Caenorhabditis elegans: one gene and its partners. The protein of the gene in region 1 interacts with the protein of each later gene in a pairwise test. Each region holds a gene or a part of one and is shown in the gene's direction. Other genes may lie near its edges.

Region 1 (8,039 bases):
ATGAATCTCCCATTTTCCTCAAAAATTCGCTTCCTCTCAAAATGCCAAGATTCCTCAAAAAGACGGCCTTCAACTGTGTTCCGTTTCATTTCCTCCCCAAGGTTCATTGCCATCCTTCTTATCAGGTGTCAGATTTTTTCTGAATAGGGGGGAATCAAAAAGTAAATATTTGATTTGACACCACAAAATGACTAATATATTTTTTTACAATACCCATCCCTACCTCCCCCAGTTTCCTCCCTACTACCTTGATTCTGGAACTTTGTGTCCAAGGTCGTAAACTCCGGCGGAAACATGTCTCTGACTCAATTGTAAGAGTCAGCTTACAATAGTCACCTTCCTTTCATCCAGACGTCTCTCTTTCTCTCCCTAGATAATTCTTGTTCACTACCTTTAAGCCTACCTGCAATAAGCTGTACGGATCATCTACTTTGACTACCTTAATCTCCATATGTCTTATCATCTCGTTTATCACTTGAAATTGGAAACGAGATTTGTGTAGTTTTATCGCATTTTTCGAGGTGCTTTAAAACCATTTGGAGATGAAATTCAGAGAAAATTGTTCTAGTTTCTCCATTTAATTCGCGACTTGTTAACGAACAAATTGTTAAATTCATGTTTACGTAACTAAAAAGTTTTTTTTTAATTTTAAGAGACGACCGAGTTACAAGCTGTCAAAGTTGAGTACCATATTTTCTCATTCCACTTTTTTGTTCAACTTTAGCATCTTATATCTCAGTTGCCGTTTGTTTTAATCAAAAATTGTTAACTAACGAAATATTTGCAATTTTTTTTCTATCGTTTGTATTCGATAATTTATTGATATCATTAAAATACACCAAGATATAATTTTTTAAAGTTAAGTAATGTGGTGCAATTTCATATTTTTAATATGTACCCTTCTCCTATGTGTTTCAAACACCGCTTCAACATTCACATTGAACTTTCAGACACTTTGAGGACAATGTTACATTTTTTTCCTTTAACATACAAACTATTTGAGTACATACTTAATTACCTCTTTGTCACAGCTACGTCTTCATTCAATACTACTACTTCGTGCATTCACTGTTCGTTTTCTTACTTTTTGTCTCTCTCTCTCTCTCTCTCTCTCTCTCTCTCTCTCTCTCTCTGTCAGTTTTCCTCTTCTCCTCACAAGCTTCTTCTCCTCATCCTTCCAAGAAGTGAAGCCAGTTTCCGCCTCTCTTATAGACAGTTTGCGTCTCCACATCTTCAATGCTATCTCTCACATTATTCCGACAGTACGGAGAAAAGAGTCGCGCTCTCTCTCCTCTGTTCGCTTCCTCAATTCCATTACGAGTGTTCTTTTCGAATGGCAAAACCTATAAGTCTTTTGAGAATTCCATCATCTTTTCAAGTTTGCATAGTACTTGTGGATCTTGAATTTTAGATGCGGAAACATTGATAGATTCGAGTTTGAAAATGTTCTAAAACTTTATAGGTTTGATTATTAGACTTTTTAATTTCAATAAAGTGCAGATTTTAAAACTCGACGCTATTGTATTTGGCAACACTTTTTGTGACTTCTACGATTTCTTCGTTTTTCAAACAGACACGTAGGCGTATAGGAATATAGGCAAATAGGCAGGCACATAGGCATGTGTGAAGGCAGCCTGTTGCTGGCTTTTCGCCCACAATCGCCCGTCATCGCCCTAGCTCGAACTTTTAAACCAAGGCAACCAAGAACTAGAAATTTTACAAAAAAACCTATCTGTCAAAAAACCATTTACCTACCTATCTCTACCCAGAGTTTCCATCGTTTTTTTTGTCCCGACCAACCCGACCTTATGTTCAATTTTATTACCCATGATCAGCACCTCCTACATGCGCAAAATGTTGCCTGTCCCCCTTTGTGATCCATGTCCCACCAATTGACATCAATAGTAAATACATCAAAGTTATCGCCTTTCTTCTCTTCTTTTTTCTAATTTCTCTATTTCCTCTGCATTTCTTTCTGTTCGATTAGCTAATAGTGGTAACTTCATTCTAACAGTGTTGTACAAGTCCGGAGACATATTGATGCGCTAGTGTCATCATCGGAAGCAAAGGCGTCCGAGCGGAAGCATTCACGATGAATCAAGAGGAGGACACCGTTAATTTGCAGATCTTCGTTCCGGAGCTTAACGTTCGGGTGAGCAATTGCAAAATAAAATTGTGACTATTTGCAGAACTTACCATAGAATTTCAAAATGTTTTATCTAGGTGTTCCATAATCCTTCTACAATTTCTCAATTTCAGAAGTTCCTTGCGGTGACCCAAAACGATTTCATCTGGGATGTGAAACGCAAGTTATTGGCCACCCTTCCGCAAGCTCTTCCGCAAGCTTTCAACTACGGGCTCTTCCTTCCTCCATGCGATGGACGAGCCGGAAAGTTTCTTCTCGAGGATCGGACCATTCGTGACTATCCGTTCACTGATTGTGTTCCGTATCTCGAGTTGAAGTATAAGAAACGAGTCTATAAGATGCTCAATCTTGACGAGAAGCAGCTGAAGGCAATGCACACGAAGGTAGGGATTACTTCTCTTTCAACTTTCAATGCCAAAACCTCCCAGGTTCTAAATGTTCTAGTTCTAATCCCATCTTATTATTCAATTCCTTCCGATCCAACATGTTGATCGAAAACTGACAAAAACCTTGTATAATTACAAGGTGTTTTATGCGTCATATTCCATCAGATGCATATCTTTCCCCCTTTCTTCACAAACTAATAATATTTGTGTTCGCGCGCACCTCTCAATTCAGATACTTATCGTTCTCGTTTTGCAGGGCCAACTCAAAAAGTTTATGGACTACGTTCAGCAGAAGAATAACGAGAAAGTGGAAAAGATGTGTTCGCAGGGACTTGATGCAAATTTTCATGATGCTCAGGTGAGTTTTTGTGGATGTTTCTAGGATTGCCGGGCATCTTGAAATTATTTTAATTTTCACAAAATTTCAGGGAGAAACCCCATTAACGCTGGCTGCTGGAATCCCGAACAATCGAGCTGTAATTGTATCCCTTATTGGTGGCGGAGCACACGTGGATTTTCGCAATTCAGAAGGCCAAACTGCAATGCACAAAGCCGCATTTCTATCTTCCTTCGAGAATGTAAAAACCTTGATCGAACTTGGAGCAAGCCCAAACTATCGTGATCCAATTGGACTTACACCGCTCTACTATAATATGTTGACAGCAGATTCGAATGATCAAGTCGCTGAGATTCTTCTACGAGAAGCCGCCGACATCGGTGTGACCGATATGCACGGAAACCACGAGATTCATCAAGCATGCAAGAATGGGTTAACGAAACATGTGGAACACTTACTCTATTTCGGTGGTCAGATCGATGCTGAAAATGTAAATGGGAATAGTCCTCTTCATGTCTGTGCAGTGAACAATAGGCCAGAATGTGCAAGAGTACTGCTGTTTCGGGGAGCTGATCATCTAGCTGTGAACAAGCAAGGACAAACTGCGTTACATGTTTCGCATATTGTCGGAAATCCTGGTGTGGCTGATGTCGTTCAAGCACATAATCCTAAATCTTCAGGTAAGAGAGTCATTTTTTTAACTTCTCTGAAAAATCTAAATTCCAGTACCATATCGCGGCACTCCTCAATACTCAACTCGCCGACGCCTCAGCTCAACCATCACTCGCCGACGTTCGATGTCCCAATCCTCAATATGCAGCCAGGATGTCTACCGTACTCCCCAAAGTGTACGAAAAGGTCCAATGTCTGCAGCTCCATCGCCAAGCCCGTCTCGATCCTCCCGTACTACCATCACCCCATCAGAGTACGGTACGATGCGACGGTCTGGAATGGATTCGATGCGTGGTGGTGGAATGATTGCAGCTGGACACGAGACAAATATCGCTCGGATTCTGGTGATTCCACGTGGTGTCAAGGGATTCGGTTTCATTTTGAGAGGAGCTAAACGTAAATTCCTTTTTCTTATGTAACTGCTCAATAATTTTCTCATAGTTCTTGTTTCAGATGTCGCCATGCCATTGAACTTCGAGCCAACTGCTCAAGTGCCGGCTCTTCAATTTTTTGAAGGTGTCGACATGTCCGGAATGGCGGTTCGCGCGGGATTAAGGCCAGGAGATTACTTGCTGGAAATTGATGGAATCGATGTGCGAAGGTGTTCACACGATGAAGTCGTCGAATTCATTCAGCAAGCCGGTGACACGATTACACTGAAAGTGATAACAGTCGATGTAGCTGATATGAGTAGGGGAGGAACTATTGTGCATCGACCGCCAACAGGTAAAGAAAGTTGAATAGAGTGTTGTTGAGATTTGGGTTGAAAGAAGTTCATATTGGGAGTTAAGTATCTTGATGATCTTGATATTGCACAAACTCGGCTTGAAGTGTAAGCTTGAACTTATCATCCCAAATCTCAATGATAATTTCAACGTATCGTCGTTCATATTCGCACGCTTTTAGTTTTGTGTAGTCTTTGTTCAAGTACAAATTGTTTTCTAATCCGTGCACCGTCACCATTCACTCACATTCACTTCCAGCATCATCTCGTCACTCTTTGGTTTTTACACCCACGCCGTCAGCAATCTACTCGTCTACAAAAGCGTCCAGTGTTTATCGGATGAGATTTGGTTCGAATTTTTTTGTTTTATTTTTACTTTATTTTTCTAACTTTCTAATTCACTGTTCACGTTAATCTAGAATTTACATAGAGATCAGCTTTCTAATTATGTGTTATCTGTTCTATAGATTTGTTCTCGGTCTCGTGTAGCATAGTCATTTTATTTTCAGACACGCATGATGCGCATGGAGTTGATTACTATGCCCCAAATGAAATCAGGAACGCCTACTCGGAATCACGTCACGCGTCAGTCAGGCAAAGGCCGGGTAGCGGGAGGAGGATATCCGCAGCGGAATTGGAGAATTTGATGGTTCGACAGCGGGTACCGTCGGTGCAAGGTTCACCATATCAAATGCAATATGATCAGGAGTCGTTGAATGGGGGTTATTCGTCAAAGAAGTATAATTCGGTTTCTGACATGAAGAGGAGGAAAGGTCAACGGAATGTGGTGGCTTCATCTGCCGGATTGAATAGGTCGACTTTCGAGCAAGCGGTGAGTTTTAGAAAAATGTGGGAATCGGAATATTTATTTGCTCTAAATTACGGAGAAACTAGATTAAAGATGCCAAAATGCCAAAGTTAAAAAACATTTTGAAACAGAAAAAAATTTAAAAAATTAACCCGATTTTCTTAAATGTTTTCTTTTTTGTTTGTTAAATATCATGTCATTTGGAGCAATTCAGAGCAAAATTCCCAACAGCGAGCACACTGAGAAAGTAGAATTTTTCAGGCTCCCACAACTAGCACATTCGAGTACAACTGTAGCAGTCGAAGCACACCTCAACTATCTCGAATGGACTCATTTGATTCATTTGACGATGAAGATGAGATGCCAGCTCCACCACCGGCGTCGTATATCTCTCCGGATTTGCAGAGAGATTCTTCAATGCAGCGGAGTGAATATTCTAGGCCGTTCCGACCAACGTCAAGGCCGAAAACTCCACCACCTCCTCCACCGATGCAACATCAGAATCATCAGAACCACCAATATCAACAACAACATCCATCTCTTCCAAGATCAGCTTCAACACCTCAACCAATTCAGCAGCAGCAGTCATCGATTCCACCACCGCCTCCACCACCTCCTCCGCCACACTGCGAGCCAACGATGGTACATGTTGAGTTCACACCTCCATCAACATCTTCAGTACCTCCTCCACCTCCTCCATTGCCTCCAATCTCATCTGGAGCTCCGCCACCACCTCCACCACCTCCTCCGGGAGGTTTGATGCATGTGGCTGCGAGTGCTCCGGTTTTGATGAGCAATTCAAAAGGAATATCAGCAGATGCCTTGAAATCAGTTCAATTAAAAAAAGCAGAACCACGAGAAACATCGGCGGCTTCTGTCAGTAATAATAACAATAATAACAACAACTCCACGACAGATTTTCAAATGGATTTGAAGAATGCGTTGGCAAAGAGGCGGAGTAAAGTAGCTCACGATGTCGATGAGGATGAGGAGAGAGAAAGTCGATTCGAAGGATTATCACTTCGAGAAACTGTTCGGGAAAATGTTGTAGAACGTGGAAAAGGAATTCAGAACATTGGAATAGTTAATAAGAAGGACAGTGGGTAAGTGAGTTTATTTCATTTGAAAAATGCTCGTTGGTTGCATAATTATTGGTTGTGTCCGATTTTTGCTAATTGGCTATTTCTAACTGCTAATTTTTGGAACATTTAAAAAAGTCTGTCAGAATGTAGTTCAAAACATTCTGAGACTTTTGGCGTCTATTCGTGTCTCTTGCCTACTTTCATAGTACCTTTAACCATATTCCCACTATTTCACTTTGAACAGTTATATCTCAGTTCATTTAGAAGATATCATTAAATGTTCAACTATGAAACTATAGAAAAAGTATCAGAAAATATTTAGTCAGTTGACAATTTTTGTGTAGAACAACCGAAAACTGAGATATAAGCTGGTAAAGTTGAACAATCGAAGTACAATATTAATAGAGAAAACACGGTAACTGCTAACTGCTTTCTCGAACTTCCGTAGCTCAACATCTTCAATCTTGAAGCTTACATACAACTTAAATAAATCCTCTCTTTTCAGGTACACATCTTCTCGAACGTCACTGGAACCATCTGAATCGGAAGAAAAAGATCATCGACCCCATTTCTCACTTGATCACTCTCCAAATGTTCAAAGAGTGACACTGATCTCTCAGCATCTCGAGGATAATTACGGACAGAAGGACAATGTAAGACCCATTTTTCCCTGCACTGATTTCTCAATATAACATTTTTCTTAACCCCAAAAAAAAGATGGTGTGAAAGAATGTTTAATTTGTTCATGTGTGGTTTGTGCCCAATTTCTAACCTAAAACCTGCAATTCAGATGTCTGTTGCCTCGTCGTCAACTGCGTCATCATCATCAACAGTTGATCTAACGAAACCTGGATGCTTCGTGGTACCATCTCATGTCATTCCACCTGTCGATTATGATGATGATCCGGATTCTGGAACAGGCGATAGCGATGGAGAGATTCGCTGTAAGAGATTCTTCTTCCAACTTGTTTTTCATTTGACATCACCATTAGTTTTACTCTTTTTGCACACTCACTTAATTTATGTTCTCACAAATTTTGGAGATTAATTTATGAATCTAAGAGGAAAGGGGAGAATGAAATCTGTCTGGGGTCTAGTTTTGGTTAACATGGGGTTTTTGGAATGCTCTGGTTGTGTTCTCGGGATACATTTTTTTTAGCAAATTCTCAATTCAAATCATTATAAATGTTTAGAGCAGTTTTGAGAATTATCTAGTTTATTTGTTTACGCTTGTATTCTTGTAAAAATACTTGTAAACTTGTAAAAATATTTATACTATAATAGTATTTTTGTCAAAATATTTAGTTTTCTAAATATTAAAAAAACAATTTGATTTGGTTTTTTAATTTACTTAATTTCGTTTGTTCTGTTTCAGTGTAACTCTTCATTTTTGAATTGTTTGCTTCAGTTTATCTGTTAACATTTCTAGTTTGAAATATGTTTGAAGGAAACTTCTTTTTTGGATATTTTGTAAAAGAAAAAATTGTTAATTCAAATCATTATCTGTTAGATTTTGGGGCTCATTCCTTTAAGTTTCAACAAATTACCAAATTTCCTCTCTTTGCAGGTAGTGAAATATCATTCGAACACAAGAAGGTAGATGTCTGGTCGGTGGATGACGTCATCGGTTGGCTCTCATCACTACACCTCTCTGAATATACACCAGCATTTCGAAGTCAACGAATCAATGGCCGATGCCTTCGCCAGTGCGATCGGTCTCGATTTACACAGCTCGGTGTCACCCGAATTGCTCATCGCCAGATAATTGAATCAGCTCTCCGTGGCCTCCTCCAGTGATTTATGATTTTCCCCCCTCATTTCTACTTTCTCGATTTTCTCCCGCGTAGCTGGCTTTATATATTTGTATATAATATTGTTTCATTT
Region 2 (6,362 bases), on another chromosome or scaffold:
AGAAAAATTATTTTGTTGACTCTCACTTGTTAACAAAGAAAATGAATGAGGAAATTAATTATTTAGGTCTTCTTTGGTCTTTTCGGGCCTTTTCAAGTCCTTCAGAGTAATTTAAAAATCTCTTACTTTTATTTTAATAATTAATTCTTCGAACTTTTAACTTTTAGACATAAATAAAACATAATTGTATATCGAGGATCAAAATGCACTCTGGATTGAATTTCCAACTGAATACACAAGAGAACATACCCGGCAGATGGGTGAAGAATAATCTTGCCAGCTGGCATTTATGAACCAGCTAGTCGGTTGCAAAATGTAGAATTTGCGTATGCAGCTTGTAAAAGGAAATCCGGATGAAAAATCTAGAGAAAAAAGACGAAAAAGTGTTCTGGAAGACCGAATGTCCAAACGCAACAAAAACTGATAAAATTCGGACGCGAAAACTATGAAAACTGAAGAGAAACGAACAACAACTACGTCGTCGTCCACGTACACATAACTATATGTACAACCAATTCTCCCATTTTTCTCTCATTCCTCTTCACATCCACACAATCTCTACACTTCTTGTGTTCATTCGTTCGTCCAGTTCAGCCTGCGGTCATCTAGAAAGACGACCTCGATTTCCGATTTCAATCTTTCCATCAGCTTCTGTGTCTCTTCAATTTAAATAGATTATTCATTTCTTCACTCTCGATGTCCGCGTTTAAACTGAACAAAAAACACTGGCGTGTATGCAAATTGGAAAATGCATCGATTTTTTGTTGGAAACAACTGATTTTCAGGTGAAATGTGGGTTGAAAGGAAAAACTACTAATTACGAAAAAGGGGGCCAAACCAAAATGGCATTGAGAAACGCGTGGTGTAGGAGGATTAAGGAGTATTTACTGAGGTAATCGGAGAGGTTGCATTCAGATATCGGAATAAAAGTGAGAACTTGGGGACAGTTGAGTTTGAAAATTCAATATCTAACCTTTCAACGCTTGAAAATATGGTGTTTTCTTGATTTTTTCTAAACAAACCGAAAAGAGTTCACATTTTACGTTGGAATAGCGCAATCTAACTCAAATTCTATGAAAACCAATGTTTTAAAATTATTTTACACAAAAAAAAACACTTTTCATGAGAAAAAGGAAGAAAATCAAGAAAAAAAATAAATAAGTGGAAGTTATCCGAGAGGAGTACATATTACTGCACACAATACACACGAAACTACGGAAAATTGCAGACGCGACGTGGTGTACCGTATCCTGCGCTAAAATTGTCGATTTTTTATGTCTGCAGACATGTCTGAAACTCTGAAAAATCCTGAAAACAAACAAAGATTCACATGCAAAACAATTCACCCCCGCAGAGCATCCAATTTTGCATCAAATTGGCAGTTACATGGTTGACAAGCGCCCGCAGCGCCTAATCACACTGATTATTTAGTTGAAACGAGAGAACGAGAGCCGAAGAGAAAGAATAATTCGTTATCTTCCCTGATTGTCCACCAGTAAATTGAAGAAAGCACTGCGGAGAGTTGCCATTCTCCTAAAATTCACTGATAGCAAATCACGGTTATCAATAAAGAGTGGGACAGAGTTTCCATTTTTCGGTTTTCCTAATTCGTTTTTTGATACTCCAAAAAGTTACATTTCTAGTTACTTTTTTCTTTTTTTAAGCAATTTTGAGAAATTCGAGATTTTCAGAAGAATGAGTTCTTCTCTTTACACGGGTGGCCAGGCCCTTTTCATATGCCTGGCGTTCATTGGCCTCGATCTTCTGGTCAATGTATTCGGACTTGCTTGGAATGGAAAAGTATGAAAATATGTTCAAAATTCGAACCAAAATCTCTTTTCAGTACTTCACGTTCGACAATATCGCTCACTGGTTTGATTTGGCCAACTATAGTTTTTTGAAAAATCCAGTAGATTTTTTGGTAGATCAGAAAATTTTGTTCAACCACCATAAATTGAGTATTTTAGGCGGTTGCGTTGATTCGTGACAGTATTTTGCTCGGCGGAGCAGTTTCAGCATGGGCTTCACCTTCCGGATTCTCACAAGTCGCCGAAAATGTCAAGTAAGTTGCCAATTTTGAGAACTTCAAGTGGGAAAAATCAATTCAAAGAAAATCAAATTTGTTACAGTACTCGTCGTTTGAAGGCGCATTCCAAATTCCCGAATAACAAATCATTGAAACTTTTTGTTAACATGATAATTTCCAGGAACGTAGTTTTTGCAATGATGCTCTTGATTGTTGCATTTGCTCCATCGAAACTTCTAGCATTCTATGAAGATGACAATATCCGGTTGGCAGTTGGTGATTGGATTCTTATGATTTGGTGTATTTTCGCTTCACTTCTTCTTCAAGGAATCTGGACTTCTGTGCTTGCTCATGTAACAGAAGTTGCAGCAGGAACAGGAGATTCTCTTCTTTTTGGAGATGCTGAACACGAGGAGAGACTCCGTCAGGAGGAAGCTGAAAAAGCTGCAGAGCAAAGAGAAACCTTCCAATTGTTGTTCAGACTTTTGGGCTACATGGGAAGGCAGTGGAAATACTATGGAATGGCATTCTTCTTCCTTTTCTGCTACTCCCTTAGTAAGTTCTCTATTCAAAAATTAAAAAGTTTTAAAAGCCATCATACTTTCTTGTCATCATGAGAGTTAATCAAGAGTAGCAAATAAACCTAAATCACGTGGCGTGGAGTTGAACTCGGGAGCGGCGAGCGGCAGCCGGCCGCGTTAACCACTAGGCCGCGAGTGAAACAAGTCGAGACAAGCGAGAAGGGCGCTTTTATTTGCGAGAAAGAAGGAGAGTTGTTAGTGAAGTTTAAAGAAAGAAAAAATCAATTGATAAAACTCGTAATTGGTCAATTATTATACAGGTCGAGTGTTCATTCCATATTACACTGGAGAAGTAGTAACAGCAGTATTCGGTGATAAAGCTTCATATGAGAAGCTTCACAAAACCGTTTTCATAATGGGAATGCTCTCATTGGCTTCGTAAGTTGTACAATAATATCCTTTTGGAAAAAAAATGTTCAGAACTGTATTTGGTGGTCTTCGTGGAGGATCATTCACCTATGCACACGCTACAATCGATCGACAGATTCGAAATGACCTATTCCGTTCTGTTGTGAAGCAAGAGATTGGGTTCTTTGATATGAATAAAACTGGTTCGTACTTAATGTGGAGGAGAATAGCAAAATAATGGTTTTCTGTAAGAAATGTAACTTCTTTCAGGAGAGATTTGCTCTCGACTGTCAGCTGATTGTCAAACAATGTCGAACACTTTGTCCCTCTACATGAATGTTCTTACCAGGTGAGATATCGAAGATAAACTTGAAAATTAAAATTTTTAAAGAAACTTGACAATGCTCTTCGGGTCTTTAATCTTCATGTTCACACTGTCTTGGAAGCTCTCAATGATCACTTTGATCAATATTCCGATCATTTTCCTCGTCAATAAAATTTTCGGAGTTTGGTATGATGTAAGTTGGGAACTAGTTGGAAGAAAAATCAAGCAATATCTAAGTTAATCTAAGTCAAATTTTAAGATTTTTGGAGTATAGGTATTGGGGGATTTTGTATAAATATACTGAACGCTGGTCAAAAATACTGAATATATTCATGTCAAGCATGTTGAAATATTTTAGGTTTTTCAAAGCAAACAAAAAATATTTTCAGATGCTCTCCGAAGAAACTCAAAACTCTGTGGCAAAGGCCAATGACGTGGCAGAGGAAGTACTTTCCTCGATTAGAACTGTCAAATCGTTCGCATGTGAGAATTATGAATCTAGCAGGTGACATTTTTTCAAGTAACAATATTTTTCTTGAATTCCAAAATGTTTAGATTCATGACTTTCCTCAACGTAACTCTCAAAATTGCTACTCGCAAAGTCTTCGTCGTTATCGGCTTGATTTGGTCAAATGAGGTTAGTGTTATTGTAGTTATGGTACAGTAACCCAAACAAATATTTCCAGCTTCTTCAAATGGGAATCCTCACTATTGTCTTGTGGTATGGAGGACATTTGGTAATTGAGAATAAAGTAGAATCAGGACTATTGGTCTCGTTTCTTCTGTATCAATTCCAGCTCGGGGAGAATTTGAGAGTAAGTTTATCACCAGGAAATCCAGTTATAAATTACCAAATTCCAGGAACTGGGAGAAGTTTGGAACGGACTTATGCAAGCCGTCGGAGCATCTAGAAAAGTATTTGAGTTCATTGATCGTCCACCACGTGTCGAAAACACTGGAACCTATGCACCTGACGGTATGACAGGAAAAATTGAATTCCGTCACGTGGCGTTCAGTTATCCAATTCGGCCAGATCTGCCAATTATGGAGGATTTGACATTTACTGTCGAACCTGGAGAGGTTGTTGCACTCGTTGGGCCATCTGGTGGTGGAAAGTCATCATGTATTGCAATGCTAGAACATTTCTATGAGCCAACAAGTGGAGAAGTTCTAATTGACGGAGTTCCGGTTAGGTGAGAGCACAAAAAACCACACAAGTTTTTGAAAAAATTTCTGAAGTCCTTTGAGTTTGCCATATAGTTCTCGTTGGGAATCTCAAAAGATTTGATGATTGAGCAACCTTTGAGCCACTTATGACAATGGCCCAGCTTTAGTTTTTGTTCTATGGTCAATCAATTTTCCAGAGAATACGATCATAAATTCTTGCACACCAAGGTAGCACTTGTGGGACAGGAGCCCGTACTATACGCTCGTTCGGTCACGGAAAACATCGGCTATGGATTAGACAAATACGATGATGATATGGTACAAAATTCAGCGAAACTCGCAAATGCTCATACTTTTATCATGAATGACACCACTGATGGATATAATACAAATGTTGGAGAAAAAGGAAGCCAAATGTCAGGTGTGTATTCTAATTCTTTGAAATTTAAACTTTGAAAGCAAGTATTTGCAGGAGGTCAAAAGCAAAGAATCGCAATTGCCCGTGCCCTTGTCCGTCAACCAGTTGTACTTCTTCTCGATGAAGCTACATCTGCTTTGGACGCTGAATCAGAACATACTGTTAGTTTTTTCGATCCATTCATACGAAAACTACATCTTTTCAGGTCCAAGAAGCAATTTCAAAAAACTTGAAAGGAAAAACTGTTATCCTAATTGCACATAGACTATCTACTGTCGAGAATGCAGATAAGATTGTTGTGATTAACAAAGTTAGTTTTGAATATCTACAGTTTTTGGAAAGTAAACACTTACAAAAAAGAGAATTTTGAAAAATTCAAGAAATCCATGAGTTAGGTCAAAGATGTTCGTTTTTGAAAAATTATCGAATTCACTTAATATACGATAGGGATATATTTTCACATCTCCTCGTAATTTTACCAAAAAAGAGCAATAAGAAAATATGGGAAAATCCTAAAAACTCGCATCGCATCACTGTTTCCCAGGTTCAAGCCATTTTCAGCTTTTGTATAAGAAATATAACTAATGCCCAAAACTTTCAGGGAAAAGTTGAACAACTTGGAAATCACAAGACCCTAATGGAACAAGAAGGACTCTACAAACAATTGGTCCAACGACAAATGATGAGCGGAGAGGATGGTCTTGATGACGAAATTGAGGAGCCCGAACCAGCCCGCGAAGGAGGTTCAGGCCGTAGCACTAGAGCCGGAGCACGTAGAATTAGAAGTCCATCACAGTCTGTTAGCCAGTCATTTTTGGGTACCTCATTTGCAAGCAGCTATTTGTAAATCTTATTTCTAGCTCGCGATTTTATTGAAATGTTTCTTGATCTATTTTAAATCTGTTGAGTAGTGTTCTTAAATCTGAATTACACTTTTTTTTGCTCATGTTGTTATCTATGAAAGGTTTTTTGAAATGTCTATATATTTTTCTAGCCTAGAAGAAGGAAGAGGAAATTGAAATTGTTCTGATCTGAGAATCGGGATACGGTAGAGATAACATGTTTGAAACGAAATTGAAACAATCATGGTTGCAAAAATACCTTCAGTCTACACGGCCTCTCTCAATTTCATTTATTTCAAAATTCCTCTTTTTCTCTCACACTCTCTCACGTGAGATTGAAAATTGAATAATATATGTGTTTTTAAATTAAATTCAAAATATTGACGAAGAAACAACTTTGGTAATATAAATACCGATTTGTTCGGACTGATACCAAATGGTAATTTTCGGACATATTTGATCTCGTAGACAACGGCTCACTATTTCAGTTATCTTTAAAGTAATAAAAAATTCTTCAAAGTTTGGTACAGAGAAACTGAAGTAGTTACATTTGTAGAAACTTACATAACGTATAAACCTACCGTATTCCTATCGTACCCAATTACCGTATTTCCTCTATTAGTCTTGAATGCAAGACTAATTTTCAATTGACCCG
Region 3 (5,096 bases), on another chromosome or scaffold:
ATCTATTGGTCCGGAATATATTACTCTGGGGAACAAATATTTAAATTATGTAATGACGCTATTTCGCAACAATTTCAATTGAGAATATGTAATATTTAAAAACCAACACGATTGAAAGAAAACTTTTTCACTGAAAATAAATACACTCGATTTTGCGCGTTCGAAACAAAATATATACAATATTTGAATCACTTCGAGCAAAACTATTGTGGTTTTGAGTTTTAATTCGATATATCTATTCAGAAATACTGTAAAATATAGGGATTCAGATGAAAAATTGAACAAAGCTATTGTATTTTTTTAAAGAGAATGTAGAATTTAAACAAAACCAATTTTCTTGAGCTTTCCACCTTCAAAAACCGAATTTTTTGCAGTTTCCCGGGATCCCCTGAGTACGCTGTAATTGTATACTACTGGAAAGGTGAACCAATTCAATTTGAGCCAGCTTTCAAGCAAAATGGAGTACGAACAGAGTCTAAGGAGTACTCGAGATATCAACAAATTGCTGATGAGGAACAAGAATTTGTGGAGGCTACTGGTTCTATGGATCCTGTGGTAGAAAATTTGCAGAAGTACGGAATTCGAAATTAAATATAAAAATTTTGAAAAAAAAATTTTTTTTTTTTGAAAATCTCAAATTTCTATTTTCTATTTTTCAATAAGAAATATCATATTTAATGTTTTTTAACAAAAGTTTTTTTTCCAGAAACCTTGCCCCATCACCACCACCGCTACTAAAACGTGTCACCTTCCCACCGGAACCCCAACAATCCACGTCATCAACATCGGCTGAAAACCTTCACGAGCTGAAATTACAGCTTATTCGACGAGAAATGCAAAATCAGGACAGATTTTCGGCGGTTTTAGACCGGGCCGACGGGCTTTTGGCTAGAATGGAGCAGAGATTCGGTGTGGAGCACCACCACCATATTGTACATCAGGAACAAGAAGAAGAAGTGTGGGATCATGAACAAATTATTGAAGAAGAAGAAGTTATTGTGCAGGATACGATGGAATATTGAAATGATTTTTTAAATTTTTTTTAGTTTTTGAAAATGCGAAAAATTTAAATTTTGAAATAAAAAATTTCAAAATTTTTTTTTTTGGATTTTTGTTTGAATTTTTTTAATTTTCAAAATAAATAAATAATTGTTTTTTTTTTTCAATTTTGAGTCACTTTTACACAATATGGTTTCGAATTTCCATTATAACTTAACGACAATTGTAAAAGTTGAGCCTTGCCATGAAATCTACAGTAACCCGCTGGTTTTCTTGTATGTTTTTGAAATCAGGAGATCACAGCGGTTCGAATAAGTATAATCATGACTAGGTTTCGAATTCATTAATTTTTTTTTGAGTTTTGGGTCCTGCCACGAAAACCAAAAAACTAGCGGAACTCGGCAAATTTCGATCGAAATTTCTAGTTCATAATAGTTTTCAAATTGACATGAAATGCGCGGTTTGAATGAGTATAATCACGACTATTTAAAAATTTTAAATTTTTGGGTCCCGCCGCGAAAATCAGAAAAACTAGGATAACTCGGTGATTTTCGATCGAAATTCCTGAAATTTTATAGTTTTGAAATCAGCATAAAATGGCGGTTCTAATAAGTATAATCATTACTAGACTCCGAATTTATTTATTTTTTCGAGTTTTTGGGTCTCGCCACGAAAAGTGTGAATTTTCGAGCAATCGATTTCATTTGACATTATTAGAAATTAGTATAAAATGACGGTTTAAATAAGTATAATCATGACTAGGTTTGAAAAGTTTGAATTTTTGGGTCCGGCCATGAAAACTTCTGGTTTTCGTGGTGAGACCCATTTTCTGTAAATTTTTGGAATCAGAAGACCACTGCGGTTTGAAAAAGTATAATCATGACTAAGTTTGAAAATTTCAGAAAATATTCGAATTTCTGGGGGGTCCCGCCACGATCAACTAATTTTCAGATGGAAAGCTTCTTAGAACACCTAGAGCAACTCAAACACGAATTTTCACAACTACCAGACGTTCATCTTTCAGAAGCAATAGGTTTGTAGAGACGAGCAAAATTTTTTTAATTTTTTGAAAAAAGTACTTCCAGAACGTATGGACGCAGCAGTTGAAGAAATGACACAAAGTGTGATATTTATTGAGGATAACTTCCAAAATACACAGGAAGAATGTCTAGTGGATATGGGAAAACATATGGTGGTACGTAATTAGGGAAAAGTTTGGGAAATTTGGAATTTTGGTCGCTGCTAATTTTTTGGGCGCTGCAATTTCTCATCATTTCAGGAAGATTTCTTGGATCCATCCGCCGCTGATTTTCTCGGTCACCTGGAGCCGTCTACGTCATCGCAGGATTTCATCTACTATGATGACGTGGCATTAGACACTACTACGTCATCGTCGTTCGTCACGTCACAACCTAGAGAATTGTACTGTTTTACGTGTGGAGATGCATTTAACAATCGGAAAGGGCTTTACAGGTATATTATATTTTAATTTAAAAAAAAAACAGAAATTTTCTTTAAAAAAATATTTTCTCAGACACGGAAAAACCGCCGAACACGCGACACGACCTCCTCGCCGAAAAATTGAGCGAAAAATTCAAATTCCCGCCGAACCGCCAGAAAAACCACCGGAAATTCCGAAAAAATCGATAAAAATCTGCGGGGAAAAATCGATTTGTGCGGAATGTTCGGGGAGTTTTCCTAATCGAAAAGCACTTTACAGGTGAGAACGCCCAAAAAATTAGCAGCGCCCAAAAATTAGCAGCGCCCAGAAAATTAGCAGCGACCAAAAAATTAGCAGCGCCCAAAAATTAGCAGCGCTCAAAAAATTAGCAGCGCCTAAAATATTAGCAGCGCCCAAAAAATTAGCAGCGACCAAAAATTAGCAGCGACCAAAAAATTAGCAGCGCCCAAAAATTAGCAGCGGCTAAAAAATTAGCAGTGCCCAAAAAATTAGCAGCGCTCAAAAATTAGCAGTGCCTAAAAAATTAGCAGAGCCCAAAAATTAGCAGCGCCCAAAAATTAGCAGCGACCAAAAATTAGCAGTGACCAAAAATTAGCAGCGCCCAAAAAATTAGCAGCGCCAAAAAATTAGCAGCGCCCAAAAATTAGCAGCGCCCAAAAATTAGCAGCGACCAAAAATTAGCAGCGACCAAAAATTAGCAGCGACCAAAAATTAGCAGCGACCAAAAAATTAGCAGCGCCAAAAAATTAGCAGCGCCCAAAAAATTAGCAGCGCTTAAAAAATTAGCAGCGCCAAAAAATTAGCAGCGCCTAAAAAATTAGCAGCGCCCAAAAATTAACAGCGACCAAAAAATTAGCAGCGCCTAAAATATTAGCAGCGCCCAAAAAATTAGCAGCGCCCAAAAAATTAGTAGTTACCAAAAACAGTTTCTATTGATTTTTGCAGATTTTTAATCGATTTTTCTCTAAAATTTACAGATTTTCACGATTTTTCTTAAATTTTTAAATATTTTCAGACATGGAAAACAAACAAATCATCAGACACATTTTCAACGTGGAATGAATATTAAAGGAGGATCAATTCGATGCGAGAAATGCGAATATAGCAGTGATAGTGAAAAGAACTTGAAACGACATTGTCAGAGAAATCATTCGAAATTTTCTGCAATTTCTGATGAGATTTTATTGTAAAATTCTAGTTTTTCATCACCTTTTACCTCGGGTAGCAACTTTGCAGAGTTTTAGTGCAAAATTCCGTCAAGTCCGGTGTTTTGAGTACGGTAGTCGGTGTTTGCGTGCTTTCGGCGCTACAGTACCCAAAATTTCTCAAATTTAACTCTAGAAGCCTATAAATAGACGGATTAGCTCAGAATTCGATAAAAATTTCGAATTTTTCAGTAAAGTATACAAATACCAAATGTTAACTGCGGAAAATACCATAAAATTCTAAATGCTTGAAATTTCAGCATTTTTTGAGATTTTTTCAACCTTTGCAGTGTGAAGTACCCGAAAATGTTCAAATTCAGCGCTAGAATACCGGGAAAAACGATTCTCACTCAGAATTCGACGGGAAATTCGAATTTTGCACATTAAAACATGAGAATTCTCAATTTTTAGTGTCGAAAATCAATATAAATCCAAAAATCTGAAATTTCAGCATTTTCCGAAGTTTTAAACATTTTTTCAGTGTGAAATTCGAGCTCTCCGACGAATTTCACATCTATATCATTCTTTTCAGCGTTTTTGTGCAAAATTCCGTAGAATCCGGTGTTTGCGTACTTCCAAAACTACAGTAACCCAAATTTCTAGATTTTGGGCTAGAAGCTCCAGAAAAAATGTAAAAGGCTCAGAATTTAAAGGAAAAATTGAATTTAATATGAAATTTATGGAATTTTCAAAAATAAAAAAATTTGGAAAAAAATTATTTATCTTTTCTTTTTTGTATTGTTCCAGTGTATATATTGTTTTATGATCTCTGATTATTGTTCTCTTATCTGATATTTTTTTGTGATAAAGAAAATGTCATCATTTTTTCCCGCGTTTCTGTGTGTACTTTGTATGTTATTTTCCCCGGGAATAAACTTTTTTTCTGCAAAAACTTTTGCACTGAAGCCTATATTGTGGTCATATGTGTATTGTAGCACTGATAATATTCAATGTTGAAAAAATTTGAAAAAAAATTTTTTTTGAAATTTTTTTTTTTGGAAATTTTCTTTTGGAATTTTTCATTTCTTCAAACTACTTCTCATTTTTGTTCAAAATTTGCAAATTTCCAACACTTTTCACCCAAAAATTCAAAAAATTCAAAAAATTCAATTAAAAATTCATTTTCGGATTTTTTCCAGAGTTTTCCAAAATGTGCATTGGATTTATTAAAATTGCTACTTCACCCAGTGAAAAATACAAATTAATTATTCTGAACAATAGAGATGAGGATTTGGACCGGCCGACTACTCCCATTCACTGGCACGATGGGATGCTGAGTGGTAAGGCTGGAAATTATCACTTTACAGGGAAAAATTGGAAAAATTGAAATAAAGAAATCGAATTCCGCATATTTGAAAACCTATGTGAAGGTTTTAAAAAAATTAGAAAATTTTAAAATTTAGAAAAAAAAATTTTTTTTTCAGAAAATT
Region 4 (4,664 bases), 3.7 Mb from region 1:
ATGAAACTAACAATTTTCCTATTTCTCATCAGAAAATTATCACATTAATTTAATTGCAGCTGTTATTTAAATTAAATAAAACATTTTAACCGTTTTTTCAGGTATACCTCGAGCGCCTAGACTCGATACGGTAGAATATTCCAACTATGAACATGAACCTGAAACAGATGAGATTTCTCGAGATGGAACACCATTTTGGTCAACACCAATTCCACCAACTAACAAAGAATTGCCGGTTTCCCCTGTATCACAATTGGACATGACGAATTCAATCAAGAGCAGGTAGAATTAATAAATTAGAATTTTCATTTCATAATTTTTTTTCAATTTCAGAGTGGAACGTGTTGATGTAGAAGTTAAACTGGAACCTTGCAATGACGAAGATGATGAATTTAGTGAAGAAGTTGATGAACAAACTGCTGAATTGGAAGAACAACTAGCAACTGAAGCTATACGGACTGGTTTGGCACTTTTTGGAAAAGTTTCCCCATCTCCAAAACGAATGAAATCATGTGGAAGTTCTGGAAGTGTTTGTGGAGATGTAGTCACAGCGATTTGTGAGATTTGTGGAATTGGAATTCGCCTGAATTCTGGTGGTTCTAAATGGAATTTCTTTGAACACGTAATGATGAAACACTCCACTCATAAACCATTCAAATGTTCCCAATGTCCATATCAAGCTGTACGAAAAGTTCGTGTAAAGCAGCACGGACAATCACAACACAATTCGGAACACGAACCTGTGAATATGATGTGAGTTTTTATTTTGAATTTAAAAAATTTTAAAAAAATTATTTTTTAAAGATTTTAAAAATTGTGCGACAGCTCTTTTTTAGTTGAATCACTAATTCACTGAGATTATTTTTTTTTATCTAATCTCACTCGAAAAGCATGAAAGCCGGTTTCTGTTTTAATTGTATAATTATTTTAAAATGTACGCAATTTGTTTTATAAATTACGAAAATTGCTACTAATGTTGCAGCTGCACCGCAAGATTTTTTTTTTCCATTCTATTTAAAATGGTAATTTTATCCAAATGTGAGGATAAGCCAAAAATTTATTTTTGGCATAAACCCGCAAAAATAGATTTGAAATTTTGAATAAAATGTAAATTTTAGAAATTTTTTTTTCTAGATCATATTTTAGACTAAAAATGTTTCAAAAGAGCATATTTAATTTTTTTTTTAAATTCAATTCTGTCGCAAGATCGCTCCATTAAAAAAAATTAAAAATGTTTGAATAAAATCCAATTCAGACGATGTCCATTTGAAAACTGAATTTAATTCGTTTCATTCCAAAATAAAAAAATCTTACAAAGTCAATTTTTTTCAGAACACCAGAAGTACGAAAAGAATGGCTGGATACAATGGCAAAGTGTTTCCCGAATCATCAATATGGAAAAGAAGCAAAAATTTAATAGTTTCTTTAAATTTTTTTCGTTGATATTTATAATATTTTCTTTTAATTTTAAGTTTTACAACGCAAATTTTGTTCTTACTCGATTTTCAATAAAATCGTCGGTCTTTTTATTATTTGTGGTAATTTCTTTTTTCTTATTTAAATAGTTATTTCTATTTCTGAATATCTTTATCGTGCTCTTGTAATTCCTAATAATATAAATAATATACATAGGTGTCGTCTTCGTACGATTCGAACCCGGCCGGGATGCCGAAATTTGTGGTCATCGAACTGAACGATGATGCAGCAACGATCGATCTTCTCAGTTATTGCGTGAGTTTTTTTATTTATAAAAATTATCTAAAATATTGATTTACTCATTTTCTCTGGTTTGAAACTTTGCATAGAACTTCCAATTGTACCTCTGATTCCTTTTTCGGTCCATATTAACCATTGGTATCCCCTAATTATTCGAATCGACTTCCTAAACAAGGGTGCCGCTGAAAAAATTGTCGGTTTTTTTTGTTGAGAAAATCCAAAAAAATTCACTTTTGAAAAAAAAACGAAAAATTCCGTTTTTTTTTTAAAGAAAAAATCGAAAAAAAATTTGAAAACACTTTTCTTATACGGAATTCAAAATTTAAGTTGATTAAAGTTTTTTTTCAAACAAGTAACCGAGATTTTATTATTTTTTTTGGACTTTACAATTTTTTAAGTGTAATTGAAAATCAATAAAAACTTTTTTTCTGAAAATCGAAAACAAATTTTTTCCGTTTTTTCGCTCTTCCAAAATCCGAAAAAAAGTGCGGTCTGATGCTAACCAAGGATTTCTTTTAAAAAATGTCAATTTTTCTGTTTGAGAAATAATCGAAAATCTAACTTTTTTTTGAGCAATTTTTGTTAAATTTTGATAAATTTCGAAAAATAAATTTTTTAGTTTTTTTGTCTAAAAATGCCAATTTTTTTGAGAGATAATCGAAAAACGAACTTTTTTGGTTTTCCGAAAAAAAAATCAAAATTTAATTTTGTTGAATATAAAACACAAAAGAAAATATAATTTCCTTCTAAAAAAAGCCCAGGCGCTGAAATTTCGAGCAATTTTTGAGAAATTTCGAAAAATCAAAAAACCAAAATTTGTTGAATTTCCAACAAAAAAAACCGAAAAAGCGACACCCTTGATCCTAAAATGTAGGGATTCAACATAACCTATAACTTCTATTCTCTTAGAAATCAGATTTTTGAAGTATAGACTAGCTTGAACATCACTGCAAACATTTTTTTTATATTTCTCCTAAAACCTCTACTCTATCAATGATCTCTCAATTCCAAGCTCTTTCTTTCGCACGATGCTCATTTCGAATTCGACATATATAGCTCCTTTTTTCGGTGCTTCTCCTGTACATAAGAGATCGATGAAATCAATCGTCGTGGCGCTCTCATAAATGTGCAGAAAGGAAGCAAGAGCTGCAGCCAACTGCTGCATCGGCGTCCGTATTTTTTGTTCGCTCTGTTCCCTTTTCCATTTATGCGAGCAACACGGTGATGCTACTTTCATCGACGAGAGATAGTATATGTTGAACGGAGGATTTGAATGTTTCTGTTCACGGAGCAACCGTCCGTTTTCTTTCTCTCAGTATCATCCTCTACCCTTTTTCGAAATATTTCTATATTTGATACTGGAAATTGGTTAATTTTCGCATTTGACAGGTTTGCTCATTTATCGAGATTTTTTAAATCTAAATTCTAAAATCATTAGCGACAATAACTAAAAATATAAATTAATCAATAATTTTCCTGAAACATTAAAATTCCATTTAGTTCTGGTATTTCTGTCCGAACTAATCTTGTAATTGAATAATCTATATTTCATCACAATGTCTTTCTTTTTCTTCTATTCTACGAATACATTTTTGCCTGTACGAGCTCATAATAGAACGCGTTGGCGCCTGCCTCACTTTCAGCATCGTCCGAAGTGTACATACCTCCTGTTCTCCATCATCGTCTTCTCCCATCCCTTTCTCTTTCTCCCATACCGGGTATTGAGCGCCTGTATGCACAATGCACACAACTGACAAAACTGTACTCGTCGCGTCGTTGTCGCCGTTGTCGTGTGCCCCGGCGAGCGCAACCAACAACAAAACTGTGTGAGCGCTGTTAACACCATTTCTTCTATCACCTTCTAAGCATCCCGGTTTGAAAGCGGGTGGTAAGGTGTCCGATATTATAAAACCGCAGCACAATGCTTAGAATGTGTGTGTGTGTGTGTGTGTGTGTGTGTGTGTGTGTGTGTGTGTGGTGTATGCAAATATTGCCGGTGGAGCCGAAGCCATAAAAATCGAGCACATCGTCAGTCTGACGGTATCATTGTGCATCTTTTTTGATACGACTTTTCACTTTTCCGTCACTACACTTAACCTTAAGTCTGCAGACTTCTCTTTTTTCTATAGTATAGACTCTTTATCCCCTTATTACAATAATCGTCTTTACGAGTCCTCATTGCTTCCACTCATTGACTATCCGTACTTATAAAATGAAACTCCTTCTTATTTCTTAATTCTTTGTTCACTTCTACAAGACGCTCTTGACTCCAATTCATTCTCACGCGATTTCGCCCAGTGAGTGTCCGAAATAAGGTCAAATTGTGCATTATGTGAAGTGAGAGTGAAAGGGTCTTCTAAAGTTTTGACCTGGGATACGTCATTCTGAGATTTTATGGTAGGAAGTATTGCTCAAAATCTAGAAGAATTTTTGAATGGTTTTCAAAAAATTATCGACTAATTAAGCAGTTAAAGTACTCGAGTAGAATTTTTTTCGTTGTTTTGAGTTTTTTTTGAAAAGTTAAAAAATGTGCTATCGTTTTCTTTTTAACTCAAAGTAACGTATTACTAAATGTTCCGAAGATCCTGTTAGAGTATCCGTGTCGTCTTTTCTCTCTGAGTTTATGGTATTATGGGAACATTCGCGCACAGTGCGCATTAGTCGTCTCCGTGATCTTTCTCACTCCTCCGTAGCGCATATTATTCCAATCCATGACTTTCTCCTTCTTCATGTCCAAGGAGCGAATGCATATCTCCGTAAAGTCACCCGTCGAGGCCGCAAAGACGTACACCCGCACTTTCGGCTCGCGATGACCTAAATTCTGTGAACGGTTGGACGACGGAAGAAGTTGATGAAATGGTGCGACCTCCTCTCCGCTCTATAAATCGACCCCGATTGGAGCCAATTCAGATGAAATCGTTTTGTGCGCACACACGCTTGTCTAAATC

The links.
Region 2: the proteins of shn-1 (region 1) and haf-9 interact in a two-hybrid assay, tested with the Caenorhabditis elegans proteins (one large-scale study listed by BioGRID).
Region 3: the proteins of shn-1 (region 1) and ztf-20 interact in a two-hybrid assay, tested with the Caenorhabditis elegans proteins (one large-scale study listed by BioGRID).
Region 4: the proteins of shn-1 (region 1) and lir-1 interact in a two-hybrid assay, tested with the Caenorhabditis elegans proteins (one large-scale study listed by BioGRID).

Annotation. Positions count from the first base shown.
Region 1 is NC_003280.10:11,384,838-11,392,876, reverse strand, and holds the start of shn-1 (Protein shank), read left to right. Parts: upstream 1-2,012; 5' UTR 2,013-2,092; coding exon 2,093-2,152; intron 2,153-2,259; coding exon 2,260-2,529; intron 2,530-2,788; coding exon 2,789-2,890; intron 2,891-2,960; coding exon 2,961-3,549; intron 3,550-3,595; coding exon 3,596-3,937; intron 3,938-3,994; coding exon 3,995-4,267; intron 4,268-4,524; coding exon 4,525-4,614; intron 4,615-4,774; coding exon 4,775-5,097; intron 5,098-5,139; exon of another isoform or gene 5,140-5,160; intron 5,161-5,334; coding exon 5,335-6,176; intron 6,177-6,660; coding exon 6,661-6,808; intron 6,809-6,945; coding exon 6,946-7,099; intron 7,100-7,722; coding exon 7,723-7,952; 3' UTR 7,953-8,039. UniProt on the Caenorhabditis elegans protein: Scaffold protein that most likely acts in the postsynaptic density (PSD) of excitatory synapses which orchestrates synapse formation and maintenance at neuromuscular junctions.
Region 2 is NC_003279.8:6,080,121-6,086,482, forward strand, and holds haf-9 (ABC-type antigen peptide transporter), read left to right. Parts: upstream 1-1,691; 5' UTR 1,692-1,695; coding exon 1,696-1,800; intron 1,801-1,843; coding exon 1,844-1,921; intron 1,922-1,967; coding exon 1,968-2,062; intron 2,063-2,207; coding exon 2,208-2,581; intron 2,582-2,617; exon of another isoform or gene 2,618-2,685; intron 2,686-2,687; exon of another isoform or gene 2,688-2,819; intron 2,820-2,867; coding exon 2,868-2,985; intron 2,986-3,027; coding exon 3,028-3,158; intron 3,159-3,225; coding exon 3,226-3,304; intron 3,305-3,346; coding exon 3,347-3,473; intron 3,474-3,669; coding exon 3,670-3,785; intron 3,786-3,835; coding exon 3,836-3,917; intron 3,918-3,966; coding exon 3,967-4,095; intron 4,096-4,141; coding exon 4,142-4,473; intron 4,474-4,644; coding exon 4,645-4,868; coding exon of another isoform or gene 4,869-4,903; intron 4,904-4,919; coding exon 4,920-5,026; intron 5,027-5,070; coding exon 5,071-5,175; intron 5,176-5,466; coding exon 5,467-5,712; 3' UTR 5,713-5,837; downstream 5,838-6,362.
Region 3 is NC_003283.11:18,957,027-18,962,122, reverse strand, and holds ztf-20 (C2H2-type domain-containing protein), read left to right. Parts: upstream 1-1,950; coding exon 1,951-2,032; intron 2,033-2,075; coding exon 2,076-2,194; intron 2,195-2,278; coding exon 2,279-2,472; intron 2,473-2,533; coding exon 2,534-2,719; intron 2,720-3,476; coding exon 3,477-3,651; 3' UTR 3,652-4,556; downstream 4,557-5,096. Other genes in the region: Y39B6A.43 (DUF4124 domain-containing protein), read left to right, coding at 375-572, 707-1,022; hrg-10 (DUF833-domain-containing protein), read left to right, coding at 4,817-4,946.
Region 4 is NC_003280.10:7,670,378-7,675,041, forward strand, and holds the start of lir-1 (LIn-26 Related), read left to right. Parts: upstream 1-1,627; 5' UTR 1,628-1,665; coding exon 1,666-1,731; intron 1,732-4,486; exon of another isoform or gene 4,487-4,622; intron 4,623-4,664. Other genes in the region: lir-2 (C2H2-type domain-containing protein), read left to right, coding at 102-282, 334-753, 1,333-1,417.